Lepisosteus oculatus: one gene and its partner. The protein of the gene in region 1 interacts with the protein of each later gene in a pairwise test. Links are inferred from orthologs where the notes say so. Each region holds a gene or a part of one and is shown in the gene's direction. Other genes may lie near its edges.

What was found. The genes of interacting proteins can lie anywhere in the genome.
Region 2: the proteins of transmembrane protein 43 (region 1) and gramd2b interact in binary tests that used the Homo sapiens proteins (3 or more experiments, as listed by UniProt). The two-hybrid records come from large-scale screens. The link is inferred for Lepisosteus oculatus from reciprocal best matches to the Homo sapiens genes TMEM43 and GRAMD2B.

The regions. Positions count from the first base shown.
Region 1 is NC_090699.1:55,801,808-55,812,045, forward strand, and holds the start of transmembrane protein 43, read left to right. Parts: upstream 1-5,278; 5' UTR 5,279-5,546; coding exon 5,547-5,561; intron 5,562-6,294; coding exon 6,295-6,447; intron 6,448-6,870; coding exon 6,871-7,005; intron 7,006-7,887; coding exon 7,888-7,982; intron 7,983-9,004; coding exon 9,005-9,054; intron 9,055-10,079; coding exon 10,080-10,149; intron 10,150-10,238. Other genes in the region: mbd4 (methyl-CpG-binding domain protein 4), read left to right, coding at 346-555, 982-1,952, 2,174-2,245, 2,330-2,464, 2,608-2,757, 3,759-3,862, 4,037-4,111. UniProt on the Homo sapiens protein: May have an important role in maintaining nuclear envelope structure by organizing protein complexes at the inner nuclear membrane. Required for retaining emerin at the inner nuclear membrane.
Region 2 is NC_090698.1:51,489,209-51,500,256, reverse strand, and holds the start of gramd2b (GRAM domain-containing protein 2B), read left to right. Parts: upstream 1-6,325; 5' UTR 6,326-6,377; coding exon 6,378-6,496; intron 6,497-11,048.

The DNA.
Region 1 (10,238 bases):
ATTTTAATGATATATACTGTTAGTCAGAGTTTAATTGTTTGCTTATATTGTACCTATGCTTTTCTTATCTATGGCCATTATAATTTAACATAAGCAGAACACATTTTCAGTACATTTTCTATATTCGTAAAAACGTTTTGTATATATTTTATTTTTGGTTGACATGCTATGAAATGCATGTGTATTAATTTTAAAGGCAGGTTTCGTGACTAAATAGCTAATTGTGGTACTATATACCGTATGTTACAGGGATTTATAGTATTGCACGGGGTTATCCTAGTCTCATAGACAACATTTTTGTAACTAGACATTTTGGAAACTTGTGTGTTTTGTTTCCAAACCTAGTGAAACTGCTACCACAGAAGCAATAGCGTGTGAAGAGCCCTCTTTGTCAGATGAGGACCAGCAAGAGAAAGCTGCACCAAAGCAGAGTCCCAGCCCCGACTCGTGTATGGAGACCTGCTGCTGTCTCGGAGTCCCGCCAGGCTGGGTTAAAATGGTGAAACAGAGGCGATCTGGAAAAACGGCAGGGAAAGTAGACGTATATATCATCAGGTACTGGGTTATAAATATAGTACAAGTGTCTATATGATCCCAAATACATCTTCCCCATTTTAGATAAGCACAAGGGCATTTGAAAATGAACAATTATGATTGGTCAATAACATCCTCTAAAAAATGTTTTTACAAATGTTTATAAAGTAATTATATCTACATCAATGCTCAAACCTGTGTTAAAAAGAGGCACAACACTTCAGGTTCTATTTTCTTGTTGCTGTACATAGATGTTGTTACTCATGTTTATTGCAGTCTGCATGTCTGAGAGAATGGTCCCTATGCATTACCATATAGAAAAACAAGCTTTTAAAAATACATTTGTACAGTTGTTTTTGTAACTGTTAGTCAGATCTGAGAACAATATATATATATATGAGACGTATTTTGTTTTGAACCAAAGGAATTAACACTTGGTGTACTCAGTCCACAGGGAGGGAAATTCAGATCAAGAGCTTCACTCCATGTCTACCTTCAGAATAACAAAGAACTCTGTCTCAAGGGTGCAGATTTTGATTTCTCTGTACCTGGGAAGGACAAACAGTTAACAAAACCTCAGAGGACAAAAAAGAAGAAAGCTCTCCAACTTTCAGAAACCGTCTTGGACAGCACAACTGACATTAAGATTACAGCCGAAGAGGAACACTTGTCACCCAGCAGTGTGTCAGAAGAGCTGTCTGGACATGATGCTGCCACTGACGGGGTCTTTTCTGCGCCTTGTGCTGAGAAATCCAAGTCTTCAGAATCTGAAAGCACAAGTTGCAGAGCCAGGGCTAAACGTCGGCACTCACTGACAAAGCTCACTCCCGCAGGACCACAGAGAGGACAGAAACAGAGGAAGGATCCCAGCAGTAGGGTTAGAAAAGCCGGTGCTGAAAGAGCAGTGGGCAAACGGGGAAATAAACTGACTCCGGGCAGTGAAATGGAAGAAGGGCAAAGTCAACGCCACACTGGAGACCAAAAAGAGACTCAAGGGGGGCTTTTAAAAGACAAGCTTCTCAGACTGGCACAGGAATGTGAGGTAAATGACGTAAACGCACTGACTGTGAGCGGTGAAAGAGGAGAAAATCAAATTGCAAACCACACTGGAGATCAAAAAGAGACTGAAAAGGGACTTTTAAAGGATAAGCTTCTCAGACTGACCCAGATAAGTGAAGCGGATAAAGGAGCAGAGCTCGCACTTTCCCCAGAAGGTGAAAATGAGTCGGGAGAAGTGGTGTGTGACCAGCCTGAGGCCTCTGCCCCAGGGAAAAGTGCCTTACAGCCTGTGTCTAAGAACGCTGCAGAGACACAGCAAGCTGTTGTCGGACCTGAAACTGAGTCTGCGCTAGAAGATGGTGATTCACTTCCTCCGGGGGACTCGGGGACATTTACATCAGTGAAACAGCAGCAAAGCAGTAAGCATAAAGTTAAATCTTTGAGTATAGCTCTTAACGTTCTGGGGAACATTGAGGGGTTTCTCCAAACCGAATAGGAATCGTGGCCTGATATGTTTTGCAATGAAAATAGACAGTATATTCAGTTACAAAAGGAGAAGGCTTAAGAAAACCTTAGATAGAAACATTGAAATATTGTCCAAGTCCATCAATGAATCTGGTACTGTTTTGTTTACCTTCAGGTTGTGGCATAAAAATGCTGTCAGAGAAAAGAAAAACAAGCCAGTACTTCACTGGAAAATTAGCCAGAGAAGGTAAGGAAACATCATTTTCAACTTTTACCAGGAACAAAAAGGACAACTCTCCCAAATGAAACATGTTCACTTTATTTTTCTTAGCTCCAAGTCCACCCAGACGCAAGGCCTTTAAGAAATGGACTCCGCCTCGCTCTCCTTTTGCCTTGGTACAGGAGACTCTTTTCCATGATCCCTGGAAGCTTCTGATAGCCACCATTTTCCTCAATAGAACCAGCGGTAAGAGTTGTGGCTTCAAACAGAACAGGACAATGAGACAATTCCCTTCACAGAGAGCTAACCTAAAATACTAGGTTCGGATGTGGGGCGCGGTTCAGTTCTGTCTTTCTGTCAGTTGAAAGTAAAGAGACTCTTTCTTTTAGGTAAGATGGCAATCCCTGTGCTGTGGGAGTTCTTTGGGCGTTACCCGTCTCCTGAGGTGGCCCGTGTCAGCGACTGGAAAGAAATGGCTGAACTGCTGAAACCTCTGGGCCTCAATGAACTCAGAGCCAAAACAATTGTGAGGTTTTCAGGTGAGTGATACAATGTTTTAAACCAAAAAAGAAGCAATTATGTATTTCTCACTATACTGTAGCTACAGTATGTTAAGCAATTTGTGTGTCACAGTGATTTCTTCAACAAGTCCTAGGTGTGAGTTGTATGCGTGTGTGTGTTGGTGCCTATCTGCCCTGTGGTGGGGTGGCATCCCATCCAGGGTGTACCCTGCCTTGTGCCTGTTGCTTGCCAGGGTAAGCTCTTTCTGTGCTGGTACTTTGAACTAGAAGAACCGGTTAGAAAACAGATGTAAGGATGGATTTCTTCACCATAGTCCTGAACTACATAAAACTGAATGTTCATAATATTCTGATTATGTTGAGGATTATTTTTCCATGTTTTTCTTTTCATCAGTGTAATCATACGATTTGCAGAAGTAAGTATGTTGTATTTGGAGTGTAGTGCACTAAGCTCACTTTGTGATAAGATAAAACACTTTATTGGCCATATGCAATTTCTTGTATTAGGAATTTGTATTTTCGCATACCCCAACTTCCTTAGCCACAGACACACCACACCACCCCTGTCATAATTGGGTGATAGGGAGTTTCTGCTTATTATCCACAGACTATGGATAACAACCACTGTATGTTGTGGTTAACAAAGGATGTAATAATGACGCTTATCTAATTTCACCCTGCCCATCACAATCAGTCATAGTCAAAATGATTTTATAATCAGCCCTCCATCTACTGTACATTGTGTATTAGAAAACCAATGTGAAATTTTCACTTTTCAGCAGACACACAAGGTAAAAAGAGCACAGTATAAGTCTCTGATGATACTTGAAAGAGTTCTCTCCAGTTTTGTGTGTGACCTCATTTTGATCCTGTTCTCTACTGGCACCAATGTGACCGACTGGGGTTTTGCACCTGCTTAGATAGCAGACTCTTGTAGGAGAACAAACCTTTGCTCTCGTAAAGCCTTTGAACTCTGTACAGGTGCGAAAGGCTTACATTTCAGATTCTTGCCATTGCAGATGAATACTTAACAAAACACTGGAAGTACCCCATCGAGCTCCATGGTATAGGAAAGTATGGCAACGACTCCTACAGGATATTCTGTGTCAATGAATGGAAACAGGTGAGTTGGGGGCAGCTGGACTCATTGATTAAGAACTCTATCCAGTGTAATCACAAAAATGGATGACAGAGTTATCCAGACATGATACGGGCCCTGTTTTTTTATGGACACATAAGCAGGATTGGAAAAATGTGACGGTAACTGTCGATTTTTTATCCATGTTTATCTTCTTAGGTTGATCCCCAAGATCACAAGCTGAACTTGTATCATGCATGGCTCCGGGAAAACCACGAGCACCTGGGTATCTGATTCCGAGACGAAGCTTGGAATCTCGGAAAAGTGGTTCAGGGAGAATAATGTTGAATTATTGCTGTTGCATTTTACCACTCTGTCATTCAAAAAATGTACTGGACTGCAACCATGTGATAAAACACAGGTCTTCACGTTTTTAGTTATGTCAGCTTTTGACTGGTTTTATATTGTCAGGTTGTATGCGTGTGCTTTTTTGTGTGTTTATGCTAGAAACTATTAAGATACATATCATTGCTTAAAAATTGAAGTTTGTATCTGCTTACATATAATCTGTAATTAAAATATTCTTTAACGCAAAACATATTTTTAGAGATAATAATAAAAAAGCTTGTGTTTTGTACTTTTCTGTTTTTTTTGGTGTTGTTTTTTCTAAAACGTCTTAATCTCTCTCTGAAGTAGCAGCTCTGTATTCTCCCACTTGATTATTTAAATGAAGTCGGTTCTTCAAATGTCCTGTAGTTGTACACTAGAAAAAAAGATAATAGTATTATCTACTTAGAATAGTATTCTAAGTTTCCTTAATTCACATCTCCAATGTATCACCTTTTATACTAATTTATTTGTACTAAATTATTGTACCCATTAATCTATTAATAAATTCAGTCTTGGACTGATTTGTAATTGATTTCATTGTGGCAACATAGGATATTTAATGATAAATAATAACATTTTCAGTTATATTTTAACACATGTAAGCTACATAGCTGCATTTGAAAAAAGGTCAGCACACATATTCTAATTTAATAAATGCAAGAGTAGTTGTCACGTACTATCGGGTCATGATTTAGTGCTGAATTAATTACCTGCTCACCTAACCAAAGACATATTTGGGAAGTTTGTAACAGAGATTAACTGTTGACTTTAGTAAAGCTGGTGTATATGAAAATGTTTTCAACATAATATTATAGTCATTTACTTGAAAAGGGACGCTATTATTTCTGCACTGCTTGCACGTTCCGAAACACCCACGGCTAATCGTTATCTGGTTGCATAGTTTTAGAAAAAGCTAAAACTCACTGGATTAATGTTTGAATTTTCACATAACAAGTAAAAACAGATATACTAGTATAACGGATGGTCATACGTTACATGTACAGCCTACAGTTCCCAGAAAACCTCGCTGCGCCAACGCACACAACAGTTGACAAATTGGAAAAGCGAACGGCGACGGTCTTGCAATCGCGCAGACGCCGAAGGAACGTAATTATTTTAAACCCTGAACGTCCAAATTTTTCCGGTTTTGAACTTCGGGTTTGTTTGAATAGGTGGTTTAATTGGAAGCAGTTTGTTTTGAGCGAATGCAAATCCCAACAGATCATTCACAAAACTCCGAAATTATTTAGTTTTTGTGCTATTCTCACATCCATCGTATATACGGACGTTTTACTGTTTTATTTTAGAAATTGAATAACTCAGGGCGGAGATCAACACAATGTCGGCCGCTAATGTAAGTGAAGTATTTAATTTACCTAGACTTGTGCGTTTAAGGCACGAAAATGTAAGACACGGTGAATAGAAACTGAAAATCGAATAATGATTGGATTAAGTTATGATACTGATGCTCATATTTCCTTGCGTCGAAAACATTTTGATCTTTTTTGAAGGTGCTGTTACCTTTAAACCATAATTTTAACCCTTGAAAAAAAACCGATGAAAATGTTTTTCATCGTTTACAAGTAACACGGTTACATGTATGGCACTTATTTAATTTTCTTCTGCAAAATGCGCTGTTTGTAAACTTTCCCATTTAGCTATCAGAGCTGTACCAGGCAGTAATGGGAGAGAGTTGTGGAATTCACTAAACAAACTATAAAGCACATCTTAAAACCACAAGGTACACTTTTAATAATAATTACACTTAAATAGTGAGGTATGGTCTTTGGAGAATGAAGGAGGTATATAGGGATGGGGTTAGAGACTTTTTTTCATACATGTTTTAAAAGGTATCCAGTAAGTCTATCAAAGTGTGAGGTTCAATCTTAGAGTAGATTGGCTAAAAAATGTTTTTTTAATGGTTGTGCACTTAAATAGCCCACTTCACATGCTCTTAACATACTGTATTACGGACACACATTACACTTACAAATTCCGTGCTATAGAAATGACCTAATAAGCATGCTGCCTCTTGTTAGCGAAGGTGAATGTGGGCTTAAATGTTTTATTTTTATGATTTATTTCAGCAGCCTTCCCAAGGACAGAGGAAGGACCAGCATGTGAAAGTGACAAGCCATAGAAACGCTGGATTCCTCGAGCGCTTGAGCCAGACAAGCGGAGGAATGCTGATTGGCATCGGGCTGTTTGCCCTGTCTTTTTATGTACTCTTCACTAACGAGGTACCAGAAATCAAGCTAATCGTCAGCAGCATGAGCTGCTGGGGCAACCACATTTAAAGGAACAGACCCTTTGACACTTGCGTTTCATGTAGTAGAAATGCTATTGTCTTTTCATTTTAAGATGGCTTAACATACACATTTATAATGTGCAAGATCTAGTCCATTCTTGTACACCCTGCCCTAGCTAACACGGCTCTAAAGGTTTTCATTGGTGATGACTGAGAAGATTAATTCCTTGCTGTATTTCAGGCACAGTCTAATATATTTGAAATAACAAAAGCCTTTTGAGTCTGTCAGCTGGGATTCTCCCTGCATTCTAACTTACAGTAATTTAACTGGTTTTAACTGCTTTGCGAAAAATAAAAAGTGCAGCTAACTGTACATTGAAGGTGCCCAGTAAGAGTATATTGTCTCTCTGCTCAGGGAAGGGCTCTGAAGACGGCAGCTTCCCTAGATGAGGGCCTGTCTCTGGTGGTGCCTCTGGACAATATTCATAGTGTTGACCCTCAGAACAATGGAAAGCTGGTGCACCTGTCTGGGCCCCTGCGGACACCTCAGGTACTGTAGGCAGCATAGCTGTCAGGCCCCTCCTGCTAGGAGGAAAACTTTGAATTAAAAGAAACACTGTTTAATCATTAATGATAATTATAATAATTGCTTGCACTTATATAGCGCTTTTCAGGACACTCCACTCAAAGCGCTTTACATGTAATGGGGACTCTCCTCCACTACCACTAATGTGCAGCATCCACCTGGATGAAGCGACGGCAGCCATAGTGCACCAGAACGCTTACCACACATCAGCTATCAGTGGGGAAGAGAACAGAGCCAATTCATAGATGGGGATTATTAGGAGGACATAATTGGTCCAGGAGGGAATTTGGCCTGAATACTGGGGTTACACCCCTACTTTGTTTGAGAAATGCCCTGGGATTTTTAATGACAAGAGAAAGTCAAGACCTTGGTTTTACATCTCATCCGAAGGACAGTGTCTTTTTACAGTATAATGTCCCCGTCACTATACTGGGGCATTAGGACCCACACAGACTGCAGGTGGACCCATTAACACCTCTACCAGCAGCAACTTTAGTTTTCCCTGGGAGGTCTCCCATACAGGTACTGACCAGGCTCACACCTACTTAGCTTCAGTGGGCTGCCAGTTTTGAGTTGCAGGGTGATATGGCAGCAAGAATGTCAAGTTTTATTGGACTACATGTAAGAGAAAGAGTGGTAAGATTTAAAAATACAGTGTATCCAGGTAAGTGTGGCACAAAGGTAGCCTTTTGACCAAAATAAGCACCGACTGAGACTATTGCACATTGTACCATTGTGAGTACTGGACTCAAACTCCACCTAGGACCCACATTCATGTACTGTACCTGTATGTTGCCTGTCTAAGTGCTGTTAAGTCCTGAGAATGAAACGTGTGACTTGTTGCAGCCTTTGAACGACCCTAACTACAGAATCAGCGTCCATGCAGCCAAGCTGAAGCGGGAGGTTGAAATGTACCAGTGGGTGGAGTACCAAGAGAGCCGGTGAGAGGCTGAAGGCACAACTCTAGCACCACACTGTTGTCAGGACGCTGTGTCAACAGCACAGCCTGTCATAGTGCAACACGGGAGAACAGTGGAGAGTACCCCATGATCACTTTGCCAACGTATCATAATACACCCACCCACAGCTTAACGTCATTATACAGTGCGAATATCAGTGCTTTCTTTTTATGAATTAAATGTTTGTAAAAGATCTGAGTATAATTTGGCCAGTTTCATCAGAATATTTTTCCTTCACTCCCTGTGTCTGTGTGGTGCCTCCAGGTGCTTCATTTTTCTTCCTGCTCATAAAGAAATAACAAGCTAGGTTAACAGATCTCTCTATCTTTGTTGCACATCTTTGGGTGGATGTGTCCTACAGTGAGCTGGCGTGCTGTCCAGGGTGTAGTCCCAGTTTGCACCCTGGGCTTCTGGGATTGGTGTCTCGTCATTGTGACTCCTACCTGGAATAATCAACCTTCTGTAAAGGGATTTTCCCCTCCACAACCCTGTCCATTCAAGGCTAACCTCCAAAGTTTCGGGGATATACCTTAGCAAACCTTAAAAATGCACATGAAATCAGAATTTTCTGTACATTCACAAATACATGATCAAATTAAAAAATGTTCTCAAGTAAGTGACCCATTTTTAATAATGTTCTGCAAAACAAATTTCATAGTCTCCGAATACCACGGCTCAATGTACCACATGCTGTATTTCAGTGTCTGATAGAGGTATGGATACTGTATGTGAAACTGAAAATAGTGTTTCTCACTGTCTTGCAGAAGTTGTTTGCTTAGTTATTCACATGCCGAGTTCTAACTGAAGTTTGAACGGGCATTTTCTTTTTTATTATTGATCAGTTTCTTCTTTTAAACAAGCATCTTTAACAAGTCAAGCCTGTAACAGTTTAAAACAATCATATATAGTATAGTTGATTAGTAGTACTATTTAAAGAAAGCAGAATAATTACACTTCACAAATGCTGCATTAGCTGGTAATCTGTTTCATCCTTTTCCCCCAAGGGACTATGAAGAAAATGGCGAACGGAAGACTGAAACAACATATACGTACAGTGAGTACTGTCAGTGTGAACCACTGTTTTTCAGTTAGATGGGGCTTCAGTGTTCAGACTGCACAATAAAGCTTTAGATCTTTACACACTGCAGTTAGGTTTGTAAGCTTTCCACAACTTTACAAGTAAAGTGAATTCAAGTAGGCACAATTAAAACACTCCTTTTCACTGTCGCCTGGCAGAGACTGAACTGTAATGACATGCTGATTTTTAAAAAAGGATTAATGGTAGAGCAACATACTGGTTACCAATCTATTCCATAGCTGCCTTAATACATCATTTTTTTTGTCACAAATCATCACACTAAATCACATAATAAGATTTAAATGTTATTTGGCCATATTTGCTCCTCTATCATTTCAGGCTGGAGACTGAAAGTTTTTCTAGCTGCAATCATAATAGCGTGACTTCTGAGAAATTCCCTACGCGCATAGACCTGCCCAAATGTAGAGTCACTTTGACATGCTGAAGTGTTTGACATAGTGCTGCCTGGAGGTGTAGCATGTCCCATATTGACATCACCGCTAGCCAGAAAGACCCTGGCTGACTAACTTCACTTCTGCCCCACTACGGGAATCTGCCGACTGTGTGCCACCTCCACTTGGGATGTCTCAGTCACAGTCAGCTAGTAACTAGACCCAGGCTTAACTAGCTAGTCTGGGCACTAGGGCTCAGTCTTTCTTCTGAGAGTTCCTTGGCTGCCCCATCGCTGCCCTCTGGTCAGATGAAGAAAGCAATTAAAAGCTTGTAAAAGCACTTTAAAAGTTGACTGTTTCACCATTTCAAAGGTTAGTATGTCTAAGCATGTTGTCATCAAAGCAAAAACTCAATTGTTTGTTATCTACGTGCATGTACAAATACTGTACTTTACTTGGTCAACCTGACTGGATTGGAGCACTGCTACAGAATGTTAAGCTGCTGTGACATTTTCCATGAAAAATGTATTGGCAATGTTTCAATCCTTGAAGTGCTTACTTCGAGTGTTTGCTTCACTGTGTTTGACTGGTTTCTCTTTCACTTTGTAGATACGGAGTGGAAGTCTGAGGTGATCAACAGCAGGAATTTTGATAAAGAGATAGGTCATATCAACCCCAGGTAACACATGAAGATTATGCTCAACTTATGTTGGTGTGTTTGCCAGAATGGTATCTTGCAGTTTCTTCTGATCTCCCCCCTCTTAATAC
Region 2 (11,048 bases), on another chromosome or scaffold:
TTTGCACACAGCCTTTTTCAGCTATGTACAAAATACAAGTATAAGATCAACAATATAAGCTTTGATAAAGCATTTCTAGTATCTGTTACAATAGCTGTTATATAAGACAATTGTTCCCTTCCCCTTTCAGATTTGCTTTCAGAAATGTCTGTCCTGGAAGTGTGTTGTTTCTTGACTGATCATTGCTGGCAAAGTCAGGTGATATGTTGGTAAATTTCAGCTGAAGGTTTGGGTCTAAACTTAGTGTTGACGTTTACCTGTATTTTACCTGTTGACGTTTACTTGTATTTTACAATCAACACAGCAGAAAATCCTATTTCAAATGGATATATTGTGCAGAATGAAATAAAATATTTCAATGCTAGCTCTCAAATCAGTTGTTGGAAACCTAGAAAGACTCCTCTCTTCCCTGGAGCCAAAAATAACTGTGATGTATATTCTTGAATTCCAGCTCACAATGACATAAAAGATTTGTCACGTGGTGTGTTTCCTGATCCAAAGAATGAGATGAAAAAGAAAGCTGGGATTTAGCGGTACTGTCAAATCTGGGACCAGGACTTAATCTATGGATGAGAAATGTCCAGCTCTGCACTTCATCTGATCTGAAAAATGAAAGTAAAAGTTAAAAGTAAAAGGGAGAAAACCCCTTCAAGACCAGGAAAGCAAGCTCTTGTCCCAGTCACTGGCAGACTGGTTATGTGAGTTGTCTCCAGGAAACAGCATCAGCAATGAAACATCTTCCTGATCAAAAGACAAAAGACCTGTAATATCTGTCAATAGGATAAAGGAAACACTCTTTAATTTTTTATTCATGTTTTTTCAACACATCTCTGTTATTCAGTAATACAGAGAAAGTACTTTGGTACAAATAGGACTGTGGGACACCCTATTCTTCAACATAGGAAACCTCAGTTCACACTCACAGGAAGCCTTCCCCAGTTCAATCATCATCTAGGCAGAAAAGATACCTCATTGTGGCCATGTTACTTTGGAGTAAACAGAGTACCTCAGTGCAATGTCCTCTTTGTCACAGAAAACCCTCATTGGAGCCAACAGTACATTTCTGCTCAGAAATCTTTATCTCGGCTTAATCAATGTAGCTCAGTACAAGAACCGAGTACTCAGTACATATTTGTCAGTGCAGTTGGTGTACTGTGTGCCAAGAAAAAAACTCAGTGCTGTTCACCTGCTATAGAATGAGCAAAGCAGCTTGAAGTAGGAAGGGAGGGGAATCTAGATTAACTCTCCAAAAAATAAGAGAGGGTGAGCATAAGACCAACAGAATTCTCTCAGACCTTGTAGGAAGAAAAAGAACCATAAATTAACCATTCCACAGGGTGGAAAGAATAGAACCAGCTGCAGAAGAGCTCATTGAAGCTGAAAGGGTGGCCGGGGCCAGCCACCTGCAGATAAGGCTATGTTGCATACTCCTGCAGGCTCAGAAAACAATTCTATAAAAGGAAGTTAGAGAACACTTCAGAAGAGGAGGAGCTACTATAGCATGTGTTATCTGTTATTTTTCATGAAGGATATACTATTACTTAACAGAAGATGGACAACACACACATACAAATAGTGATAGCTTGGTAATTATATTTAATTATACAAAACCTAGTCTAACACCTACTGTATAGTCTACTTATAGTCCCTTTTGTCAGTAATAAAAACCCTTCATGCATCACTAATAAGGCATGTATTAGACATGAACTAACAATCAACTAGCTGTGTTTCCGTGATGAAGTAGTAATACATGTCTTAGAGGGACATCATATTCTGAAATGTTTTTGCAATTTACTTGGGATGTGTGACAATGTGTGCCTGGTAACCATCTGCTTCTAATAAATCAGGCAAATGAAAGAGTTTTAACAACTCAGGTAACACATATTACACACTTAAACCTCCAAAACTTAAACAAGTTTTTACATGTGTTCCACACCAGACATCAAGATGGTAAGATAATAGAAAACTGTAAAATTCTTCTGCATTATATGCTTCACACATAGAAATCTTAAAATAGGGTACTGAATAATGGATATGCTAAAGTCTTCTTTATTCACAATAAATAATGTATGCCGGATCCCATTACCCTTTATGATACCCAAAGGATTACAGAGCTCTTTGGTTTTATTAGTGTCATCCTATAAAGAATTAAAAGCTGTTTTGTTCTAATTATAGAAGGATTCACTGTATTGCAGAATACTCAGACAAGCATGAGAATGGACAAATTATAAATCTGTCTTTGATAGCTAGTCCACTATTACAGTATATCTGCCAGATTATGATGGAGAAATTAGATCTGAGTTTCATAACTTTAGCATTACATAATTTTATTGTAAGTTCAAATAGTATTTAAACAAATTTCAACTGTATTAATTTTGCCACAAAAAGCTTGTATACACTAAGTAGAAATTGTATTGCATTGCTGTCCATTTTAAAAACATTATCAGATGTCACTGTTAGCTAATAGTTACTGTTAACTAAAAGCTTAACAACTAGTATTAAGTAAATCAAATAATGAAATAATAATACAATTTAATAAATCAATGAAAACGTAAAATAGATTCGTTTAGTTTATGGATGTGTTTGAGCTGGCATAAATATTTCACTACACAGCTCCCATCCCACCAAGACATTAATGACTAAATTCATATTTATCACTTATAATTAGTTGGAGTTTGTTTTAAAAAAATCTGTAACTGAATTAGAAGTGTAATGAAATGAAAGATGAAATGTAATTTGTCCTTGTTTACAGTTATACTGTTACATAAATATGTGAAACTGACCTCCTTCTGGTGACTGTTTAGATTGATGTCAGTGCAATATCAGTTTTAACTACATTGTTTTATGACTGGAAATTAAAAACTGTACAATTTAAAAACTATTGGCAAAACAAAGCTGATCATGACAGAGATGCTGTGGTATCCTGCACATAGTCATTTTCTCGGATCCCATCAGTATAGCTGATGGGTTCTCAGGATCACTATCTCTGCAGTAATCTTTTTTATCCATGTCTGAATGTGTTTCTTCAAAGATAAACAACATACAGTACACACCTGAAGAAGACTCCATGGCCGAAACCTTGTGTTTCCTTTCTTTTCTATTCAGCATGAAATAAACCCGTTACCTGTTCCTTAACATACAGTACAGCTCAATATCATATGAGTGAAACCTGAAAGTATTAACTGGAATAGGATCTCTATCTTATCCCTCTCATCACAGGATTACCCAAATGTCCTTCTCTTTGGTTTTGAAAGTCTTATTTGTGTCTTAAGACAACTAAACACATTATGTCAGTGTAGTTTGTTTTGCTAAATGATACAATACAGCTACGAATTAATATTATATTTATAATTATGTTATAGTAGTGTATCCTTATCTTTTTTCACTAATAAAAAGGAAAAAAATCTACTTTCACATCTGTAACACATACTATAAATGATGTGATACTGTATTAACATAGTAAAGGAAATTTCAAGATCCTGTTGTTCAAAATCCCATTTTTTATATTCAACATAGTAACTTATCATTTGTAAATATAGTAATCCCTCATTATACTAACTTAATTCATTTCTTGAGGTGAAAGTAATTCATTACTCTTAAGGTGAAAACTCAATCATGGAAATTCAATTCTCTTTACTTCCTGTGAACCTCCAGAACTAAAAAAACTTCACCTTAATACAGCACAGAACAGCATCTACTCTAAGTGTAAAACAATAACATCCCTGGTTAATTATTCAAGCAACATGTTTAAAATCATTAGCTGATGCATAAACAACAGAAAACAAAAAAGACTCCTGCTCATTAATAGAAGTTCCATGATGACAGTCCTTAATTCATAAACTAGCCTGTACTATATGTACTTATAGTAGAACAAACAAGCCTTTATTATAAAAAAGGTACCAAAGTATAAAAAATTTAACTCTTCATCTTCAAAAAGATGCCAGAAAAGTAGAATCATACAAGATCTCGGCTCGTAAGAGTGAAAATCTGCTTGTTAAATAAAAATAAATAAAAAAACAGGAATTACTACATTTCATATAACCAAAACTTGTATAGTGGTTGCTCGTACGGTGATATATTACTGTACAAAAAATTCACAAAAAGTTATTATAATGTGGAATATTATAATGCAGCAAAGGGGCCTGGAGTCTACCTATGGGTGGAGAATTTTAGAAGATGGTGTAGGAACACTTAAGAAATCAACAGAGAGGAATAAGTGAGGATTCACATTAATTTTGAGATTATTAGAGAAACTTGGCTTCAGCTGTCAGGAAGCTGATTTCACACTATAAAAGAAAACAGCTCAGGGAGAAGGTGGTCTAATCCAACATTACTGCAGCTAGACTGATTAAGTTGCATGGTGCAACCTCGAGCAGTATATGCTGTACTATATAGGTTCCAAGGAGAAACTCGTAAGTTTTGATGAAAGTTCAATTGATATCTTTCTACACTGATTACCGCTGTTTATGGGGCAAATGTATTACAGGTTTAATACCTACCCATGGATAAAACAGGACCAGCTGGTTCTATTAGGCACATATAATCAGGGAAAGGAGAACAACTATGGTTGAGGACCAAACCACGGAAGGAAGGTGTCTGGTCCACCAGTAGATAGTACAGTATATTGGACCCTGTGTGAGGTTAGAGTATAGGGTTGAAGGAAGGGAAGAAAGGAAAAGAGAGGTCAATAAGCGCTGGAGAGAACAAGCGAAGGGAAGAGTAGGGCTCTGTGTGTATTCCTCAATAGTGAGCAAGGAATAGTACGGTTGAAGGGCTTAAGTAGGGTGGAAAGTGGTTGGATAGTTGCGGTGAACAATGCACGTTGGAATGTGGCAAGTGCGTGGTTGCGTGGTGACTCTGACAGAAGACTAGAAACATCCAGTTCTATCTGACCTCAGCTGGTTAACAACTTTCCCAATTTATGGAAAAATATGATTGATGTATTTTGAACCTCTAAATTCCATTGCCTAGGTAGGAGGATCTATTTCAATGTCCACTCTGGGGAGAAAAAGAAGGAAAACATAGAAATGAACCCACAATCCCCATTTATCAAGAGAACTATGCCTTCAAGCCAGCAATGTTTTTGCTGTTGTTCATTGTCTGAATTATTCAAAGTCAGTCAGTTCTAATTTGACAAGACATTACAGCCAAGCATAGTCCATCATTAACATACCATAAAGTGTGAAAACATGAGTCACAGCACCTCACATAGATTAGACCATCATAATGCTCCATGTTCGTAATTGCTTTCACAGTGCAAGGTACAAAGCATCAGAAACTCCATGTCTCAACAAGTGATTGACACGTGCTGGTGACACATTGATCAAATCCTAGGACCTTAGATCCTGCATTCCCTGCAGGCTCATTCACATGAGAATAGTTCAGCAGGACAACACACGTCTTCATGCTGTTCCTGTTACAAGGCTGACTAGGGCACACTTTTTTGGGGGGGTTTGTCTCAAAAGACCAGGCCAGCATGCGCTATCAGGTCTGACTGGGGAGATGCACCACAGAGTGGGCCAAGGGAGTCATCTGCTGAGGTCTGGTCTGAAGCAGAATCCCAACCTCTCTTCCTCATTCAGCAGCCTGGAGAAGCCCTGCTCCTAGGCTGATTCCAAGAGAAAGAACTGGAAAGGAGGAACGAGAAGGGCTCTGCTGGGAAGCTGGAAAGTGGCTTGGGAGGTGAAAGGGAGTAAACGTCTGATCAGGATTTAAATACCCCAGAGAACCTGCTGCCTTGAGACTTCTTGCTACAACCAGGTGCTCTGCTTTTTGCTGTAGTATAATTCTTTTTTGTAGGAGGTTGCGTCAAACAATGTATAGTATTATATGTGCCCTAGAGATGTGCCCTAGAGATGTGATTTACAGATTACATAGTTTACAGCAATACACCTTTGTTTTTTTAATGTACAAAATAGTTGAAAAAATATGTCTATATTATGGCCTTTTTTGTGAACTGGATTTAAATTTACATTTGTTATACTGTATGTAATATATGAGATATGTAATATACAATCATTTAGAATTCAATTACATTAAATATATGTTTGCATGTTTGTAAAATAAAAGGTTCAACACAAACTTTCAAATAATACACAAATTTAAAAAATATTTGTGTCCGCTGCCTGTGAATAATAACCAAGCAAATCAATGAATAAATAGTGCAGGGCTACTTAAAAGCATCAGCTGACTTAGCATTGTCCCCTTAGTAACAACATGTCCTTCCCACAGGTGAATTACTTATTAACTTTAAAAATCAAGACAATACAGAACTCAAAGTACAGAGTTTTATTGACCTGGGGGAAAGCTAAAACTGAGAGGCATACACTTTACTTCAATCACTTTCATCCTGTTCTCACCTACTGTAGGCTTTCCTAATGGTAAAAAGGTTTGCTTATGATGACTCTATTCTGCCTTATTATAAAAGACAGAACGGTCTACTTAATCCAATGCATTCCATTCCTGGTCCTACAGAAAACATTGATTCTACACTGGGGTAAGTGTGATTCCATATTATGTATGTATTTGTACGTATTTTGCAGAACATAGATATCTGTGCTGAGATGTCTTTTTTTCTTAAGAATGTATTTTTGGAAACATTTTAATATGATATTAACCCCCATTCACATTCAATGAAAAATGTGACCATTTCTGTGTTTTTATAATTCAATGAAGGCCTCTGTTTCTGATTTACAGAAATATGTATGTTAATGAAATAGACTTTAGTCTTGCTGTGGTCAGATCAAGTTAGCAAACAGTGTGGAAGTGTGCATGACGTCTACATGTACAAGTACATGTGGAAGTCTACATGAAGTGTAAATTGATACCTTTAGCAACTATTTAATTGTATATGTAAATTTAAATGCTTATTATGCATTTAGCTTCACTTCAGGTTATTTTATTTAAAAAGCAATGCTTATTATATAAAGAAAATATTTTAAAACTTTTAACTGTTCAACAATTTAATTCCCGAACACTTAACATTCACGTTATTATTTTTTATTTTAATCATTATCTTCATAACATCTACTATACATAAGCTGTATCAAACTGTTGACTTTTTCAAGCAAGTTTGAAAGGTAGTGCTTGCAATAAAACAATTTCACATGGTTGTAAATTTATTTTGTAACAGATATCATGTGCCAGCTTAACAACTGCTACACTGGAAAAGAAACATATACCCTATTTACTTCTAAAGAAGTTTATAAGCACCACCAATTAAAAAAATGTTGAGATGATGCAAATATAATTGACATAAAATTTGTGACACACGTTATTCTCAAAAACGTTCATTTTCTCTAAAATAGTACAAGCATATTACATATAACAGAAGTAAAAGGCACTCAATGACCAAATAAAACCAAAAATAAAACAAAATTAGCAATTTTGTTTTCACCACTTTTCCAAAAGCTGTAAATCTGTTTTCCTTACATTCTTCTTTAATATAATTATAATGTGGCAAAGCAACTGTGGTCGATTACTTCCTACTTATTGTTTATTGCTGCATCTTTTTCTTAACATTGTCTTCACCATTTAGCCATGGATGTCTAGATCCATAACTCGAATGAAGACCTTTTCAGATCCAGGCTAGCTTCTTCGTTGTCTGATGACCAGTCTTAGTATCATATTCATATTCGACTCAGTCGTCTCTTATCAGTCTTGCTTTCAAACCTCTATAAACAGACCCTGTATCACTTCCTTTGATTACAGTTTTTCCTTCTGTTAACAACTGAGCTGTTGCCGTGCTCTAACACACCCTCCATAAATGCTGCATTTCTTTTATGAAATACGCTGAAAGAAAGAATTCTTTTCATTCTTTAATGGTTCTAATCTTTCAGCTCCAGTTTCCACTTTCAGTCCCTGCAGCTGATGACACCACCTCTTTGGTCATTGGTCTAGTCTGGCATCCCACCTTAAGCTGTGTTAGTAGGTGTCCTACAATCTGTACTACTGTCTCCTGGTGTCCAACATAGCTAAATAGATTTCCCCTAACTCCCCAATGTAATGTAATATTGGTGTCCCAATATGCTCTAATTTCTTTGAATACCACAACCTTCTGCTAAAACGGCTCTATTACTCCATAGGCACTTATACGCCCACTGGGAAGCCAACTGTATTATGCTGTGTCCATGATTGGCTCTTCTCCTTTCACATCCCTCCCTACCTTTCTATCCTATCCTATTCAGATTTCAATCTCACAAGAGATAGAACTTACTGTACAAGTCTCAACGGATCCCCTCTCCTTTCACATGTCGAATGAAACCAAACCTTATTGTTCCCTCTGACTGAGCAGATAATTGATCTCTAACCCAATTTGGAAGACATATTTTTGTTATAGTTCAAGTGACACGCGAAAATTGTCACACTGCCAAAATGTTGTGTGAATAAACCTTTACTTGTTCCTATATTTTTGTTATCTGCAACATCCTGTGTCTAGCACACCATGCCTTCGGCCCTTAGCAATATTTTACTTTTCCAAGTAATTTTTCTTTCCCTTCAGGTGCCTGGCTCACTCCAGTATTAACCCCTGACATCCTCTTTATCTGTCCAATGCTCTCTTTCCATCCTTTCCTGAACATCAAGCATTCTAAAAACCCTACTTTTCCTGTCTTCTAATTTCTTCACCTCTTCTTCTTCTCTCTAGAATCCCACCTTGTGCGGTGACAGCTCCCAGCTTCCTTCCGCCATCTTTTTCCATCTACACTCTCCCACAACTTCACCTTCATCTGTCAACTCAACAAATAATCCAGTTTCCCAACAATGCAGTTCTCTCTCTCTCTCTCTGTCACTCTGAATTCTGAAGGCCACCTTCCCAGTGTATCTCTGTAAACCAGAAAACATTATCTGTGATATTGCCCTCCACTTCAGTGACTAAAGGTACAAATACTCCAGTTGTTGTTTGTGACTTCTATTCTCACACCTCCCTGCAATGTAGCCTCTCTTATTTTTATGCCTCAATACCTTCAGTCTTTTCTCATTCATTGCCCCCCATTCCTACTCCCTTCCAAATTGTTACTCCCTCTTTGAGCCTCAGGTTCCTCCATCATCTTTGCAGTGGGCTCCAAATCCAAACAAATTTAACTCCTTCAGTTGCAGAAACTCCTCATCATTTCCTCAGCATCAGCATAGTCTCCATTCCAGAGACACATACTCTTTCCATGTTCTATCAGCACCCAGTGTCTTCCTCAGATCAGTTACCTCTCCCTAAATGACTCTTCTCTCAGTGGTCACACCATATATCTGAACAAAGCTGGTCCAAATGCCTAACCAAAATGTTAAAATTACAAGTGTGTTATATTATTTTAACATGACATCCATTCATATACTGTAACTTTTGCCTTTGTTAACTTTTTGCTTCCCCACATTGTCTAGAATATGTAAATTATGTGTCAACATAAACACCTATGTCTTTTTCTTAAGTAGCCTATTCTAACTCTATGTTTCCCATTTTGTAGTTATAGTTTATGTTTTTGATATATGTATGCAAAACAATGCACTTGTTTTAAAATCTGCCAGGTGTTTGCCCAGTCTTAAATTTAATCTTTGGTGTGTTCTGCAAACATGACTAGTTTACTCACTATAAGATATTCTAAATCATTGAAAAAAATAGAAACAGCACTAGTTCCAGCACAGATCACTGCTTCACTCACTGCAGTTTGAGCATTCACCCCTTATGTGTACTCTCTGTTTTCTATTAAACAATTCTCATTTCAAACACATGCATTTGCCTGAATGCCTACTGCCTGTATTTTAGAACTTAATCCAAAATGAAAATACATTGTTCACATCACCTTTCTTTGTGAGTCTGGTTTTCCAGCATTAACTTACATGAAGAACAAATACAGAGTTCATCTCAGGGTCGAAGATGATATGCACCTTTACCTCAGCCCAACAAATCCCCACCTATCCATTCTCTCTGCCTCTATGCAGGCATAACCATTTCATTGAATGAGTGTTTTTTTTTTCAGCTATTGTTTAATTTTTCATTTGATGTAGCAATATGATTTTTGTGCTGGTGTTTTTTTGCTAGAAATATTGTTAGAATTCTAATTAAGCTTATAAGCACTAAAAGCAACATTTTTTGCAGTATGATAACATTACACAGCACAATTACACAATTTTCCACAATTACCATACTGAACTCCAGTACAAAATTAATGATGTTAATGGCACAAATAATCTTCATAAATCCAAACACTATACTAAATTATAAGAAAATGTAATGAGTTTAAGAAAACAATATCAAAAGCAATCTACTGTAAATTGTGGGTACATCTTAGATGCACGTTAATTACAAGTTTGAGTGGGTAGCTTTATCAGTGTGTCAGTTGCAAATTAACAAGTTAATTCTACACTAAAAAGTAGAAAGAATGAAGAAAAAAGTTTTTTTTCTAAATTATTTTGAATTTCCTTCATCTTAACTGCGACAAGACGGAAGTCATGCTTATTGGCACCCCCATTAACTTCGTAAAGCCAATCCTGTAACCCTATCTGTAGATGGTTCTGTACTTGAGTGTCAATCTAAATTGAAAAACCTTGGGGTTATATTCTATTCTGGCTAAACATTAGACCCACATGTGCAGCATATTGTCAAAACATCTTTTTTTGTATGGGTGACAGGGTCTTCTCCTGTTATGCCCCCAAGCTCTGGAACTCTCTCCCCAAGGATATCAGAGAGCCACCTTCTCTAAACTCCTTCAAATCAAGACTCAAAACCCTCTTCTTCAGAAAAGCCTTTACTTAACTGGTTCCATTCTTCACCCCTCTGCTTTTCTTAGTACCACCATCCACGGTCTCCTCAGTATATCGTAATTGTGTTTTATCTCGTGTATTCTTTTTATTTATTGTTTTTGTCATTCTATAAGGCGCTTTGAGAAGCCACCTTTAAAGGCACTATATAAAATAAAGTTATTATTATTATTATTATTATTATTATTATTATTATTATTATTATTATTATTATTATTGTTATTATTGTTATTATTATTATTTTGCCCAAGGAGCCTCTTCAGGAATGTCAAAAACTTGTATTTTTTCTTCTTTCAACC